Linked DNA regions of Schizosaccharomyces pombe. The protein of the gene in region 1 interacts with the protein of each later gene in a biochemical or structural test. Each region holds a gene or a part of one and is shown on either strand. Other genes may lie near its edges.

Region 1 (4,744 bases):
ACGATATGTTTATTCAATACAATCGATGCAAGAAACGAATATAATAATTTCAACCAGTTTTTACCAAACTGAAAAACAAATGGGGAGAAGCAGCAAAGATAAGGTATGTCTCGTGCGTTACTGAAACCTTGTAAATACTTAACTTTGTAGCGAAAAGTTTACGTTAATTTTATCGAAGTTATATCGTATATTAATGTGTAAACTTTAATGTTTCTCAGTCGCATATAGAAACATTTTAGTTTATTATTTCATTTTTTTTTTATTGCTAAATAATTATTTAACTATTTATTTTGTTAAAATACTAACTTTACACTTTTTTAGAGAGATGCCTATTATCGTCTGGCGAAGGAACAAGGGTGGAGAGCCCGCTCAGCTTTCAAATTGCTCCAATTAAACGAACAGTTCAATTTATTTGAAGGAGCAAAAAGAGTTGTAGACTTATGTGCTGCACCGGGGTCTTGGTCTCAAGTTTTGTCTCGTGAGTTACTCAAAAACATTGATACTTCCATTGCCGCAGATGAGAAACCTATGATTGTTGCTGTTGATCTTCAACCCATGGCACCAATCGATGGGGTATGCACCCTGCAATTAGACATTACTCATCCCAACACCCTTTCAATTATTTTGTCTCACTTTGGTAATGAACCGGCTGATCTCGTAGTTAGTGATGGTGCCCCAGATGTTACTGGTTTGCACGACCTAGATGAATATATTCAAGCACAGATATTGTTAGCTGCATTTAATTTAGCGGTTTGTGTTTTAAAGCCTGGTGGGAAATTTGTTGCAAAAATTTTTCGTGGACGAGATGTTTCACTGTTATACTCTCAGCTTCGTTTGATGTTTCGAAAAGTTTCTTGTGCTAAACCAAGAAGCTCTCGTGCTAGCTCTATCGAGTCCTTTGTCGTTTGTGAAGATTTTAACCCCCCTTCTAATTTTCAACCCGATTTAACAAAACCTTTATGTGTAATCGATCCAACCAATGCTCATGAGATTGCACCATTTATTGCATGTGGTGACCTTGATGGTTATGATGCGGACGCTACTTATCCCGTTGAAATAAATATGAAAAAGGCTACCTTAGACGTTATACAACCTCCAACCGCTCCTCCTTATAAACGAGCTATCGAATTGAAGCATAGCAAGATGATGTCGTAACCTATTATTCCAATTGTCTCTTTTTTATTTAATCTTTTCTTTCGTTTAATTTAGCAGTGGGTTTTACTATTGTATATTATATAGGTATAATCTATTTTTGAACCTATCATTCTTTTTTCATAAAAAAATTAAAGAAAGCAGGATGTGTTCGGTATACTTATAATCAGAATTTCCTCTTATGAATTTTTATCTAAATCAATTACTTTTGATACACACATGCTTTCGTTGAAAGACTTGCTAGTCATGTTTAACTTTATACCTTGCTATAGCAAATCATGGGGTTATGATTATAATTGTCATGTGGATATCATTTTCATAACTATAAGAGAGGCAACTAGTACTACTCATAGCACGGCCAACAGATACGAGTTCGGTAAATTTCATGGCGTTCTTATGAACCCATAGTATCATGAGGTGTAAGACATAAACAAACTTGGTAAACTATTCATCAATAATGATTTTTTCTTCCAAATTTGCAAAGTTTTGAAAAAATGAAGAGAATAAGACGACTGCATACTCAAAGTCCTTGGAGCCACACATTTCACGGCAAGAGTGCATAGAAAGCATAGGATTTCCTAAATCGAGTGTACGCATTCCTGTCATGGCAGCAAGTTTGGGACCAATAGTGCTTCCACAAGGAGAATCATTTCGCACCACGAATGACTGAATTGGCACATCGGCGAGTTGAGCTACTTTCTTTAAAAGGACTATGCCTGCGGAATTAGTCGTATAACGCTGATTCGCATTAACTTTAATTACAGTTCCTTTGTTCAAAAATGGGGTATTCGAATTTTCATAGCGAGATGAGTAATTGGGATGCATGGCATGAGCCATGTCAGCAGAAACTAGAAAACTTTTTACCATGGAAATTGAAAACAAAGAACTTTCTTTCCCCAGCTCGCATATTCTTTGGAGAACAGCTGGTAAAAACGTGCTTTCAGCACCTTGAGCTGACACGGAACCGATTTCCTCGTGGTCAAAGGAGGGAACAACTCTAACGCAACTTTCATTATCAAGGGAGTTATTTTCCAATGATTTAGTTAAAGCTTGAGATGCGCAAAATGTCATTCCAAGGTTATCGAGACGAGGTGAGAATACAAACTCTTCGTGAATTCCGCCAAGGCGAGCCTTTTCAGCATCACCTAGAATCAACTCAAAATCCACAATTTTGGAAGGATCTATAGTTGTCTCTAATGATTTAGATATTTCATTCGCAAGTAAAGAAAGCAAAACAGGATGGTGATATTTGTCACCATTATCAGAGGTTTCTTCCTTCGCAAGTTCATTTTCCAATCCAATAAGCGGAACAAATTCTGTTTCCATATTGAATGAAAAAGAAGAATTGGCAGACGGATCTAAGTGAATTGCGAGAGTAGGAATGCGTAATAGTGGCCGATCGATATGCACATTATACTGTATAACTCGTCCATCCTCCTCTTCAACCATCACTCTCCCAGCTAAAGAAAGATCTCTATCAAACCAAGTGTGCCATATACCACCGCCGTATTTTTCAACTCCTACTTGTAGATAGCCGTAAGCGGACTTCTGAGATTTTGGTTTTAACCGAAGTGTAGGAGAATCAGTGTGCGTTGCAATAATAGAGAAACCATTTCCTATCATAAATGTTAAACAATAATAATAATACAATCAAACTCTACTGAAGTTTAAGGCGAAGCATATAGAGGCAACTCATTGAGAACTTGACTTACCTGGTTTCCATTTTTTACCAATACTGAAAGCAATTATACTAGATTTATTGCGAGTAACGAAGTATGAATTTCCAGGTTCAATTTTAGATTGCCAATCACTCTTTTCACTGAGGTATTGAAATCCGTGAGACATGTAATGTTCTGCCAAATTTTGTACAGCATGGTACGGAGTAGGGCTTGCATTAACAAAATCCAAAAAATCTAAAGCACAACTTTTTGCAGTGGCAGTCATTTTTCCATGTAATTGCATTTGTGAATTCTTTCGGTTGTTATTGGAATAATACACCATAGTGGTGAGTACAAATCAAGTGACAATACCGTAGGTACTACATGTCGAAACCGGAACGATAAACCCAATAAGGAGTTCACTTGGGTTATTAAAAGCGAGTACGATTTCTAAATGGTTTATAAAATGACTGGGAGATCTGCTTGTATGTAGGTTTTTGAACGATATGAAAACTGAAAGTTATACAAAAATTAACAACCTGCTATTCCATGAACTTAACTAATCTAGCAAATAAATAACCCTAAAAGAAAAGTAAATCGTAAAAAGAAATGAGCGACATCAAAACCACTTAAAAAAGATGCTCGAAAATAAAAAACGAAGAAAAAGAGGGCAACCTAACATAAACAACAAGGCATAACAAATCATGACATCAATGATTTTTCTTTAAAATAAAAATATTTACAGCAGTAATAAATTAGATTTATATTTCGGCTCATATTGATGAAGTATCCTAAAAACATTCAACGATAATTGTTAAGAAATCCCAAATAAGAAAGTATAATTCTAATTACTGGATGCAACGGATATTTCAGATATTTTGCCATCAAGAGCACGCAAAAGAACAACTAAACGGCGTTTAAAAATAGGCGAGAAAAATTCAGACTGCCTTAACAAAGCTTCGCGAGTTAAAGTAAGAACAGGGTGAACTACCGTTTCCACCTTTGGGTCATTAACATCAATGTTCAAACAAATTCTAGAAATGTATTCCATACGCTTCGATAAGCGATCGTCATCAACAGAATCAAGGAGAGAAATATGATAAATAAAAGTAAGAAGCAATAAATTGCTACAATTTTCTAACATTCTATCGTAAGAAATTTCAGACAAAACGTCAAAGCCCGCAACAGAGGGCATGTTACACCACTAGAATAAATTAGAAAATAAAAATCACATTTTATAACTTACCTCAGCAACACATTCTTTCACAGAACCAGCTTTAACATATTCTTTTAGCCTTCTCAGACTTTCAGCAATTCCCTGAGCAGGCTGTTCAGCAGATGAAGGCTCCTGCTTTTCCACGTCCTTTGTAGACGTATCGCTAGACACGGAAACGTTACTTTCCGCAGCAGGTGGATATGATGAAGGTACTACATCAGGTGCTGTCTCTGGTACTTTATTCTCAATCTTCAAATCATTGAACTTTTCAAGCACTGTTTCAACATAGCCTTCAAGCGTTTTAACTTGTTCATTCAATTCGTTATACTTTACCTCAGATTCCTTCTGGGCATGTGCAACATTCTGAATACTATACCTCAGTTGAGCTAGAGATGAAGTCTGCTTATCAAAATCCTCTCGAACAGAATTTTGCAGCTCTGCAATGCTATTCTCAAGAAAAGATTCAATTTTTTCCAAGTTATTTTTGAGAGCATTTCTAACGGAATTCGCAATTTCTTCCTTTAATGCCACTTGCATCGATTTTTCAACCACCGACTCTAGAATTTTACCAGTGTTTTCAGTTAAGGTTGAGGAGACGACTGATAAAATAGCTTCCGTATGTTTTTCGTTTGCAGCCTTATATTCCAAAAGTTGAGATCTTAGGCTTTCATCTGTTTAAAAAATTAGTGAAGTTAACTTAAAAAAAACTTACAATTTT
Region 2 (5,663 bases), 2.5 Mb from region 1:
TCGTAAATTTTGGACACATGTATGCAAAGCAATTTGACTTTGTTTTTTTTTTTTACGTAAAGAAACTTTTTTAGCCAACATTATTTATAACGTAGTGGATAGAATCATGTTATTATTAATTAGACGGTATATATTCCAAAAAATAAAAATAAATAAATAAATAATAAATACGATAAGTAAGGGAATATATGAGAAACAATTATATAATTGATCAATTTAACCTAAATAGATACACATCATCGACTTGGTGAGTCAGAGTATAAATGAGATTATTGGAGTTTTGTTATGCTATTGTATAAAACTATGAAGCAGCTCCAGGTTCCACACTAGTGAAATAGCAAGATTGTGAAAAATCAGCTTATATAAATGTTTCAGTTGATTTCAAATGATGTTACTCTTAACTCGTTTTAAATAAATGGGTGTATGTGAAATAACGAAGCAATTTGGGAATGCAAAATCTAATATGTACGTATTAGTTGTTGATGGATCTCTTTATATTTTTATATGGAAACACTAGTAGTCATGGTTTTAATAGAAAAGCAGTCTAGAGAGATATGTTGGAATTCGATACTTTGCATCAAAGTGTTCTATTTATTTATTTATGTTGCGTCTGTCAAGTCAAAGCACTTGAAATGACTGTTGTTGTAAAAAAAAGGAATCCCGAAGAAAAATTATATGTTTTTGAATTAATTCATTTCTATATTTATTTTTAAGAGCTATTTTTGAGTTTTGAATCCTCTAGCCAAAAAGTAGTAACTACAGTCTACACGCTCTCTTACCTTGGCCGACGGGGTATGTACAATACCAACTCGAACGGTTCCCCACATGGTTCTCCAATGTGGGATACTTGGAATGGTATTCAGTAACGATCTAAAAGTCGCAATTCTAATATTCCACCCCCACTTTGTCTCATTGGGGTCCAAGTTTTTGGATGGGAATAAAAAGCGAAACGAGCTGTAACGCTTAGCGTTAGTGAAAATAGCGATTACCACTAGCAATCCTAAGAAAAAAACATCCATCTAAACTTCGTCAATAGCAATGGTTGAGCAGTTAGAAAAAGTTATCAAAAACTTTCTTACCTATAAAAATTATTTTCTTGTCGCTTGTCAACATCTCTATTCATTTATTCACTCCCGATACATGCATATGCATTGCCGTAACGCACATGCAAGAGATGAAGCTACTTCAGTCAACGTTCATTGAGTAAATATTTGCATAGCTAAGCAATTCTTTTCTGTATCTATTGTAGTACTATGTTTGACTGAGAAATCCGCTACCGCGGAAGTTCTCCTAAATTTTGATCTTTACTGATATCATTAGCTCGATCGATCGGAGCAACTACCCTTTTTTACCTGATCAAGACAAGCAAATTCTCGAAATTCGGCTTGTTATCTATTTAAAATTTCAAAAAAAAAAAAAAAAAAGAAAAAAAACTTATGAGAGATAAAATTTGTAGCACAAAGTATGGTAACCAAGAACCAAAGATGCGTTTATTGATAGTAACAGTAAATAGCACTTCACTTGCAAGGCCAACAATACAAGACACTATGGTAATGTAGATCAGTACGTTTTCAAAGCATAAAATGTACAAATTGTTTGTTGGTAGGAAATCAATACTTATTCATACCCATCTCGTTTCTCTCATTGTTGAAAGGATATAATATCAATCTATGTAGTCTAATTTGTATCATTCAACAATTATGGAAACATCGGATACGCCTCTTTTCAAATTTTCTTACTCCTTAATTTATTTTTGATCAAAGTACATCTAAATAATAAAATATTATTTTTTCCTGCGACGATGAACCGGGTTTCCATGCAAGGTTGCCTGTCCCAATCATAAAAGTGAGATTTGACTTTTCAACGGGTTTGTAAGTTGTAGGCTAAAGTTCATTAGTAAATATGTGATAAATAAGGCTTTCTTTCTTCATTACAATTTTTTCTTACTGTTTGGTGGATTTCGGCTTTGTTGCCCAAGTCATTCTCCACAAACCTTCTTCACTTTACTGAATTTTAAGTGGTTTTGTATTTCGTATTCACCGACATCAGAAGCGAGTCTATATGCTAAGGTTGTTCCTCTCCTCGGTTTTGGCTAGTTGTTGAATGGACAGAATCATGGGGCACTGACGTCGCACCCTCCCCTCCGTTCATGCTAATGGTACTCAGGTTTACCGAATAAATAGTCCCCCATCCCAGCAATTATTCTTTCCTTAGCCAATATCGGTGCATTGTAATACCCTTTTTCATGTAAGTGCAAGCCTAAAGGTGTTTGAGATTTGATCTTGTCGAGAGGCAGTAGGATATTCTCTAGTGCATAGTTTAGAAAATCCTCCTTTGTGATAATTTTGATTTTGCGTTTCGTTGGCCTTTTGGTCTTACGAAATGTCGGTTTTCTTGAAAGAAAGTCTTATATTTTTGGTTGGAAATATAGTTTACTCGATGCTCTAATTCATGTCTGCCAATGCTAGGACTTTTTTCATCTGCGCTTATCTTGGGGTCAATCCTATACATAGCGTATGCAAATTTTCACTCAAAATGGGTTCATTTCTCTTACTTTGAAGAGGATAGAAAAGGTCTTCAAAAGCTCAATTTTTTTTTCTATTTAAAATTAGATGCCGTTATTGATAATGACTACGCTACTAAATTTGTGGTTCCTGTCTATATCTATGACCCATCTGAGTGTGCTCAGATTAAGCACACTAGTTGAATTGAAAATTAATTATTGATTTTTGATAACAAACCCCGTCTTTAGCTTGTTTGAAATTAAAGTGACTTTTCTCATTGGCGATTATTGATAGTCAATTTTTTTTCTATTTTTCACGATAGTTCTCTTAGATATTATCATTAACCGACTTTCTATTCTTATTGCTTATTTCTTTTTTTCTGTTTGTTAAATTTGCGAATCGGCCTTCACTATCTCCTTGATCTGATATCCTTCGTTCTCTCATATTATTACAAAGGAGCTTTTCCCGCATTTCACGCCTTCTTTTATTTCCCAAGTTTTACTTTTTACTAACTTTTAAATTATTAGGATGATTATATTAAACGCACCTCGTTTTATGACAAACACAAGATTAGCTAGTACTCGACGACTTGCTTCGTCGTTACTTTCTCAAGCGTCGCTTCGTTCCCGTCAATTAAACCCCCTTTTCACATCTTCTTACTCAACTCGTTCCTCTTCCTTAAAGGATCGGTTAGCTGAGCTTATTCCTGAAAAACAAGCAGAAATCAAAAAATTTCGCGCAGAACATGGCCAAGATGTCATTGGTGAGGTAACTATCAATCAAATGTATGGTGGTGCTCGTGGGGTTCGTTCTTTAATATGGGAAGGCTCTGTTTTAGACCCTAACGAGGGTATCCGATTCCGTGGTTATACTATCCCGGAATGCCAAAAATTACTTCCTTCTTCTCCCAACGGAAAACAGCCTCTTCCTGAATCTTTGTTCTGGCTTTTAGTTACCGGGGAAATTCCTACTCTGAGTCAAGTGCAGGCGCTTTCCGCTGACTGGGCCGCCCGTTCTCAGTTACCCAAATTTGTTGAAGAACTCATTGACCGTTGCCCTCCTACCCTTCATCCAATGGCCCAATTCTCTCTCGCTGTTACTGCACTTGAGCACGATTCTGCATTTGCTAAAGCATATGAGCGTGGAATGAACAAGCATGATTATTGGAAGTATGAATATGAAGACTGCATGGATTTGATTGCCAAGACCGTTCCAATTGCCGGTCGTATCTACCGCAATTTGTACCGTGATGGTGTTGTTGCTCCTATTCAAATGGATAAGGACCATTCGTACAATTTTGCTAATGTTCTGGGCTTTGCTAACAATGAGGAATTTGTGGAGCTTATGCGTCTTTATTTGACCATCCATGCTGACCACGAAGGTGGTAATGTATCTGCTCACACCGGTCATTTGGTAGGTTCTGCTCTTTCTTCACCCTTTTTGTCGATGGCTGCCTCCTTAAATGGACTTGCTGGTCCCCTTCATGGTCTTGCCAACCAAGAAGTTTTGAACTTTTTGATTACAATGAAGAAAGAAATCGGTGATGATTTATCTGAAGAAACAATCAAGTCTTATCTCTGGAAGCTTTTGAATTCTGGTCGTGTTGTTCCTGGTTATGGTCATGCCGTACTTCGTAAGACAGATCCTCGCTATACGGCTCAGCGTGAATTTGCACTTGAGCATCTTCCTAAAGATCCCATGTTTCAACTTGTAAGCCGTCTGTATGAAATAGTTCCAGGTGTTCTTACAGAGCATGGAAAAACCAAAAATCCATATCCCAACGTTGACTCACATTCTGGTGTTCTTTTGCAATATTATGGCTTGAAAGAACAAAGCTTCTACACCGTTTTGTTCGGTGTTTCTCGAACACTCGGTGTTGCCTCTCAACTCATCTGGGATCGAGCTTTGGGACTACCTATTGAGCGTCCTAAGTCTTTCTCTACTGAAGCATTAAAGAAGATGGTTGAAACGAAATGATTATCTTATTTCTTACAATGAAAATTATGTCGGCGCTTTTTTTTTCATTCATTATTTGTATAAATGTTTTATTTCCTACTTAGTTTTTACTGTGTTGGTGTTGTCAATTCCCGTTGCATTTAAAAATTGAATATCCGCAAATATATCAGCAAACACAATAATATTAATAATAAATTTCAAAATTGGTATAGCAAACAATGAATTTACTTAACTCTGTTGTATTCATGGCTTTAAAAAGTCTAACGTATAAGTTTTCAGTAAGCAAATTGTTATTTCAAAAGGCCTTCTCATCATCTGGTAACTTTCTATATATTTTAGCTAAATTATTTAATTTGGTATGAATGTAAAACACGCATAGTCAGACGAAAGCAATCCAATTAGGCTTTCGTCCCGGCTTAATTGGTGTCTAATATCTTTTTCTGCATATACACAGCGTACCAAAAGTCACTGTTAGCACTCCTTTTAGTTGCACGTGGATTCACAAGACCAAAGAACTTTGATTCACCGAGACTCAAATTCCAAAGCCTCCAATCGTGCTATGTATGTGGCATAGAAAAAGATAAAATTTCTAAATGGAAGAGATATATATATGAATAAAAATTCCTGAACTACCGTATTTCACTAGTTTTCATTAGGCTGGTTTAAGATAGTTTTCTAATTGCTTCGCAATTTGTTTCAATTTTACGAATTGCTGTATTAAGCAGAATATAATTAGTAAAAAATATGATTTGGAGTAATTTGTATTAAGACTTATTAGCTACCATAAGATATCGTCTTGAAATTCATTGATAGATTTGGTGTAGCTGCTTCATAAAAAAAGACGGAGATTGGATCTTAAAATCTGTAATTTCAGGCCATTTCTTTGATCTAACTTATAACTGCTAACTAGTTGAATGTTTATTGGTGGGGAGTAGCTTTGAGATGTTGCTACTGTTTGGCGTACCGCCAAACACCTGCCAATCTTTTACAATTAACGCGACTCCTCTATACATCAATACAAACATTGAAGCAACATATAACCATCACACGGCGTTTGTATTACCATCGTAAAAGAAAAAATGAATAACATTACACGTGACATCTATACCAAAGGACAACCTGCTGATCTGAAACGTCTGCTGATGAAGCGTAACTCTTTTAGAAGGCCATTGTTAAACATGCGATGTAATTCTGTCTTACAAT
Region 3 (5,130 bases), on another chromosome or scaffold:
TTAATAAAGTTTGACTAAAACAAAGGAAAGTTATAGCATAAAAAGTCCATTAGCAACATTTAATAGTAAACGGTCGTAATTCAGTGAATAGCAAAAGGTGCATAGCTAAGACGACAAGTATTTAAGACCAGCATGTAATCCTAGTGCAAATGTGGAGAGACGAACATCAATGGCAAATCCCTTCTTCTCTAAAGAAAATAATTCCTCTTGTAAAGAAGAAAGCTTGATTGGAAAGTTCTCAATGTATTCGCCATCGTCAAGTTGTTGTTGAGGATTTTGGTTTTCAGGCTTCGACATGTCAATGTCAGCCAGTATAATCTTAAGATTAGCATTCGTAAGACCCGGATCATTGTACATGACAGTGGTGGAGTCCATAACAGTACCAACGTAGCCAGTCTCTTCACGAAGCTCTCGAATCGCAGCATCTTCACAAGACTCCTTAGAATCAACTAAACCTGCTGGAATTTCAATACAAAACTTGCCAATAGGAGGACGAAATTGCTTTTGGCACAACACATGAGGACTTCCGTCGATAGGAACAATGGCTAAGATGGCTACGGCATCCACATTGGCTTCTGAACGTGTCGTACGTTCAGCCATTTCCCAAAACCTGATTTTTCCTTTTTCGTCTTGCCAACGGATTTTCTTTAAGGATGTCCACTTGGCATCCTGATTCTCAAGGTTGGACACTTCCAAAACTTTAGGTTTTTGATCTTGGCTCATTTTATCAATACAGGTGCTCAAACCTTTGACAGTGTATGAAGGGTGTTGGAATGAAGTTGCTGATATTTGAAAAGAGAAGGTGGAAATAGCGATGTGAGAATATGAGCTAATCAATTTCGGAGGATGCTGGTGTCTACCAACGTTAAGTAAATATCGGGTTAGAAATGAAGTTGCATTTATACCTAATGTTCTTGTACTTTTAATAATATGCTGGAAAAAATTTCGGTGCATGAGTGACTTAAAATCCAACTGAAATATTGCTTACTTTTTTCCCGTTAATGCGTAAACGTGCGATTAGTATGACAATGTAAGTATGATGTTAATTTGTTTTGACGTATATTTACAAATTTCATTAATGTAAATATTAACAATCAGCAAAAAACCAAAATTATTATTTGAGCAAAATCATAACGCGGAGTATACCATTAATTATTAACTTAGCTATAAACTGGTCGTTTATCACCTTCTCTAGTGTCTTTTCATTTGCAATTGATTTTACAAACGGATCATCAAAAGATACCGTGACCGGTTTTAGCCAATATAATGGAGTTTTTCCTACCCTTTTCTATTATTGTAGTAAAAGATTTTACGCTGTAAGAGAAATTGCATTTATTTACGTTTTCAGTTCATAATCGCTTATTGATATTAGAATAGCGTCAACTTATGATTTAAGAATATATAATATTAATACTTTATCGACTCACATCTCATTTAAATTACATTTATGCCATAACCCATATCTAGTTTAATGTCTAAGCCGATTTCTAAGTACATTTTAGGGCTTAAGTTAAGTAGTTTCCAATTTAACTAAATCAATTTCTTTTTCAAGTTTGCTACATCAACAAAATTTTTCATATATTCATTTTTAGGGCCATGCGTTGAAGTACCAACCTCTTGTAGATAAATTCGCTAAGTTACTGTTTATGCTGTGCACGCTTCTAAACGCTACCACTTTTTAGCGACGCTTAACTTATCTATTATCAGTACGATATGCTCATCCCCCATATACGTGTGATAAGCTTACACCTCGACCTCGTTCATTTACATTACCATCAACTTCTACTAGCGAATTTGTCCTGCTCACTTCACCCGTTGAATACATCCCATTTAGAATTAATAGCTTGATTTCATAACCAATTAGGAACCCGTCATTATAGTTGCAATTCCAACGCTCCTTACATTTCGTTTGCACTGTATCTCTACACATCCGCTTCAATTATTTGTTTTGTCTTTATTTCCTGTTCCGTCTATAGGTAAGATAATTTACTTGCACAAAGTCTTAAGTTCAATGTTTGTACAACAAATTACAAAAAGGATTGAAGGACTAAAGTGGTTGATGGAACTTTAATAATAACATCTTCGATAAATATTTACGAGAACGTAAAAATCCTTGTCTTGATAAAGATTGTTTTTTCTATTGCCTTTACTCTGAAATTGCTAGCACTGTTGCTCACTTCGGCGTCACATATTTCCTCAATTTCAAAATTCATATGAACTATTAAATTTTACTTTGCAACTAATTTCATTAGTTAATATCGTTACTAATTTTGCTTTAGCTTATTTCGAAAGAGCTTTTTACCTACAATTAAGACCTTCTCTTACCTAAGAACTCGAGTTACTTCTTGACTGCTTACGCGATTTTTTTCTTTTTTTTGCTTTCTTTAACGCTCTCTTTTATCATTAAATTTTATTTTATTTTATTCACGTTTTTGATCCCGAAATGCTTTGCAATCGTACATGTCCCTCTTCTGATTGTGGGATTCTTTGCAACCATAGTGTTCCTTCCTTCCCTCCTTTTCATTCCTCAGTCGCTAATATCCACTTCACTAAGGAGAATAATTTAAAGTCAAACATTTTTGAGCACAATAATAATTCGCCTACTTTAAGGTCTTCTTCTGTTGCTTGTAACACTTGCCTCAAGATAATTCGGAATGACTCATTTCATTGCACAAAGTGTTTCGATTTCGATGTTTGTAGAGACTGCTATGCGAAACAGGCATTCCTCCATCCTTGCCCAAAACCCCATTTCGTACTTGTTCGCTCTTCAATCCCTTCAGTTGCTTCCTTAACCTGCAGCGTAAATTCTATGTCAGTTTCTCCCCAATCTAATTTTATGTACGCCATTTGTGACCATTGTGAGCAACCTATACATAATGTGCGTTACAAGTGTAGTGTTTGTGATGACTACGACATTTGTGAGTCTTGCCTTACCGACAATAGTCATTCAAACACGCATGCTTTCGTTCGAATTACTAAAGCTTATCCTCATGGTCTTCCTTCATTTCATTTGTTCCCTCAGTTCCTATCAGCCGAATTGTTTGAGTCTGCCTCAACAGTACATCGATCGGTTCAATGTGACAACTGTCTTGCTCATCCAATAGTTGGACCAAGATTTCATTGTCTGGTTTGTGAAGACTATGATCTTTGCTCCTCATGTGTATCTCATGTGCATCATGATCATCATTCAATGCTCCGTTTAACTCGCGAAATATCTGCTTCACCTTTACATTTATCTAAACCTGAAAAACCTAAGGTTCTTAATTTCGACTTCAAGTTAGTTGAGGACTCCATTCTCCCCTTAGAATTAAGCCCTGGCTGCCCGTTTTATAAAATATGGCATATAAGGAATACTTCTTGTCAATCGTGGCCTTCTCCGTTGTATGTCAAGTTTAATGGTGGAGACAAACTTTTTCCAGGAGACAATCCATATTCGTTTCCTATCACTTCTTCCGTTCATCCTGGTGAGGATGTTAATTTTACAGTTGCTTTGAAGGTTCCTGAAAAAAGTAACAAAGAGATTTTTACCGCATTTTTTAATATCTGCTCCGATGATGGTAGCGTTTTTCACAAAAGTCTTTGCGCCTTCCTTCGTGTACCGAAGTCTTTTAGCAGAATTAGTAAGTCGTCTTTTTGAAACCATTCGTAACGCTTTTTATGTCCTGTAGAAGTTTAGTGTGGAAGACAACGATAACGAAACTGATTTCAGTTTTATATTTCTTTCTTTTGTCCACTTGTCTGGCGGTTGTTCGTATATAACCGCCGGTTTTAAGTTCATGATTTGCTTCAGAGTTGAATCACTTGTTACCATATTTGATCCTACCTTGTTATAATGATCTTGATGGAAATGCTATATATGTTTAAAATTTATATTAAAAATTATATATTAACGAATAAAATGCAGGATACATATGAATATGCCAGATTAAATAATAGTATACATTGATGATAAAACTCTAAAGAGTTTTTGCTTCATTAATTATGGATTCCTTTATGATTACTTTCGATGAAAGTTCATTAGTTTTGGCACTGCTTGATACAGTAGGTTCCTCCTTTTTTTGTAGAAACGAGTTTAATCTAGCCATAGCTTGTTTTTTGATGTGAAATGGTTCTCGTGATTTGCTAAGCGAATCTTTTAGTCTATAAATCGCTTCCTTATTTCGTAACATAGGGCACGTGTCCCTTCCACTAAAGTGAGGTGTTCCACATAAAAAGCATATTTCTAATGGCACAATGCTTAATGGACAATGTGCTGGTAAATGTTTAATACCACAACATCGACAACGTACATTATCAGACAAAGAAGACAGTAGAAAAAAGTTGTCAAGAACTGCTTTAGACAAAGATCTTCCAACCAGTTGATGATTTTTTTCAATTATTTCGTAAGGTGGGTAAAAAACTGGATCGTCTATCAGTTGCATTTCCGAATCATTAATATACTCTGAAGAAGTTAATTTGTTAGCCACCTCTAAATTGATGGTGGATAGAGTTTTGTTAAATTCATCTTCTTTGGGAGTTGTTGCTAATAGAGATTTAGCTAAGATAGAGTCAAAATGAACATCTGCAGACTTTTGAGAATCAGATTCATCATTTAAGTTTTCGATATTTACGCTCGAATCATATTTGAGTTTTTGCTTATCAGATAAAGTATCTGTTATCGAACTGATTGTCTCAGTTTCTATGGGAAATGGGGAGCCTGGTGATGATCGATCATTAACGGTATAATCAGTATCGTCGCTATTATCATAAATATTTAAATCTTCGCCATAATGGATTTTGTGGTGTGCACGAAGTCTCCTGTTGGAAGTTGTTTCGTCTGTTTTTTCTAGCATTGCATCCTTCTCTCGTTGCTTAAGTATTACTGACCAGACATCTTCTTCATCAACAAGAACATTTTCTTTGACTTCATAATGATTGGAAGATATATGTTTGTTATCCCAAACACGAAAAAAGCCAAACTTATTGCTTTTTATATCTGATTCATCAGTTGAAGTATCTTCTTGTTTCTCAGCTTCTGAGATAAGTAATTCTACCGAATATTCATTATACTTAATAGACGGTTCATCACCAGCCTCTTCAAATAATGCACGAGCCCCATGCCGCAAGATACTTTCTAAATCTTTTTCTGAA

Evidence for each region.
Region 2: of the proteins of ape4 (region 1) and cit1, one has a biochemical effect on the other in vitro, tested with the Schizosaccharomyces pombe proteins (one study listed by BioGRID).
Region 3: the proteins of ape4 (region 1) and nbr1 are reported together in a solved structure, tested with the Schizosaccharomyces pombe proteins (one study listed by BioGRID).

The regions. Positions count from the first base shown.
Region 1 is NC_003424.3:4,831,281-4,836,024, reverse strand, and holds ape4 (aspartyl metalloaminopeptidase Ape4), read right to left. Parts: upstream 3,136-4,744; 5' UTR 3,115-3,135; coding exon 2,865-3,114; intron 2,769-2,864; coding exon 1,597-2,768; 3' UTR 1,455-1,596; downstream 1-1,454. Other genes in the region: trm7 (tRNA 2'-O-ribose methyltransferase), read left to right, coding at 80-103, 322-1,155; protein pdc1, read right to left, coding at 3,655-4,014, 4,057-4,697, 4,739-4,744. UniProt on the Schizosaccharomyces pombe protein: Aspartyl aminopeptidase that is able to remove aspartyl residue at N-terminus of angiotensin I. Also acts as a chaperone and efficiently suppressed the thermal aggregation of citrate synthase.
Region 2 is NC_003424.3:2,325,616-2,331,278, forward strand, and holds cit1 (citrate synthase Cit1), read left to right. Parts: upstream 1-2,212; 5' UTR 2,213-2,245; coding exon 2,246-2,247; intron 2,248-3,031; coding exon 3,032-4,481; 3' UTR 4,482-4,674; downstream 4,675-5,663. Other genes in the region: SPOM_SPAC6C3.03C (uncharacterized protein), read right to left, coding at 717-1,019; protein meu43, read left to right, coding at 5,540-5,663.
Region 3 is NC_003423.3:985,151-990,280, reverse strand, and holds nbr1 (protein Nbr1), read left to right. Parts: upstream 1-1,771; 5' UTR 1,772-1,976; intron 1,977-2,279; 5' UTR 2,280-2,443; coding exon 2,444-3,637; 3' UTR 3,638-3,898; downstream 3,899-5,130. Other genes in the region: subfamily NudF ADP-ribose diphosphatase Ysa1, read right to left, coding at 106-723; SHREC complex ATP-dependent chromatin remodeller Mit1, read right to left, coding at 3,957-5,130.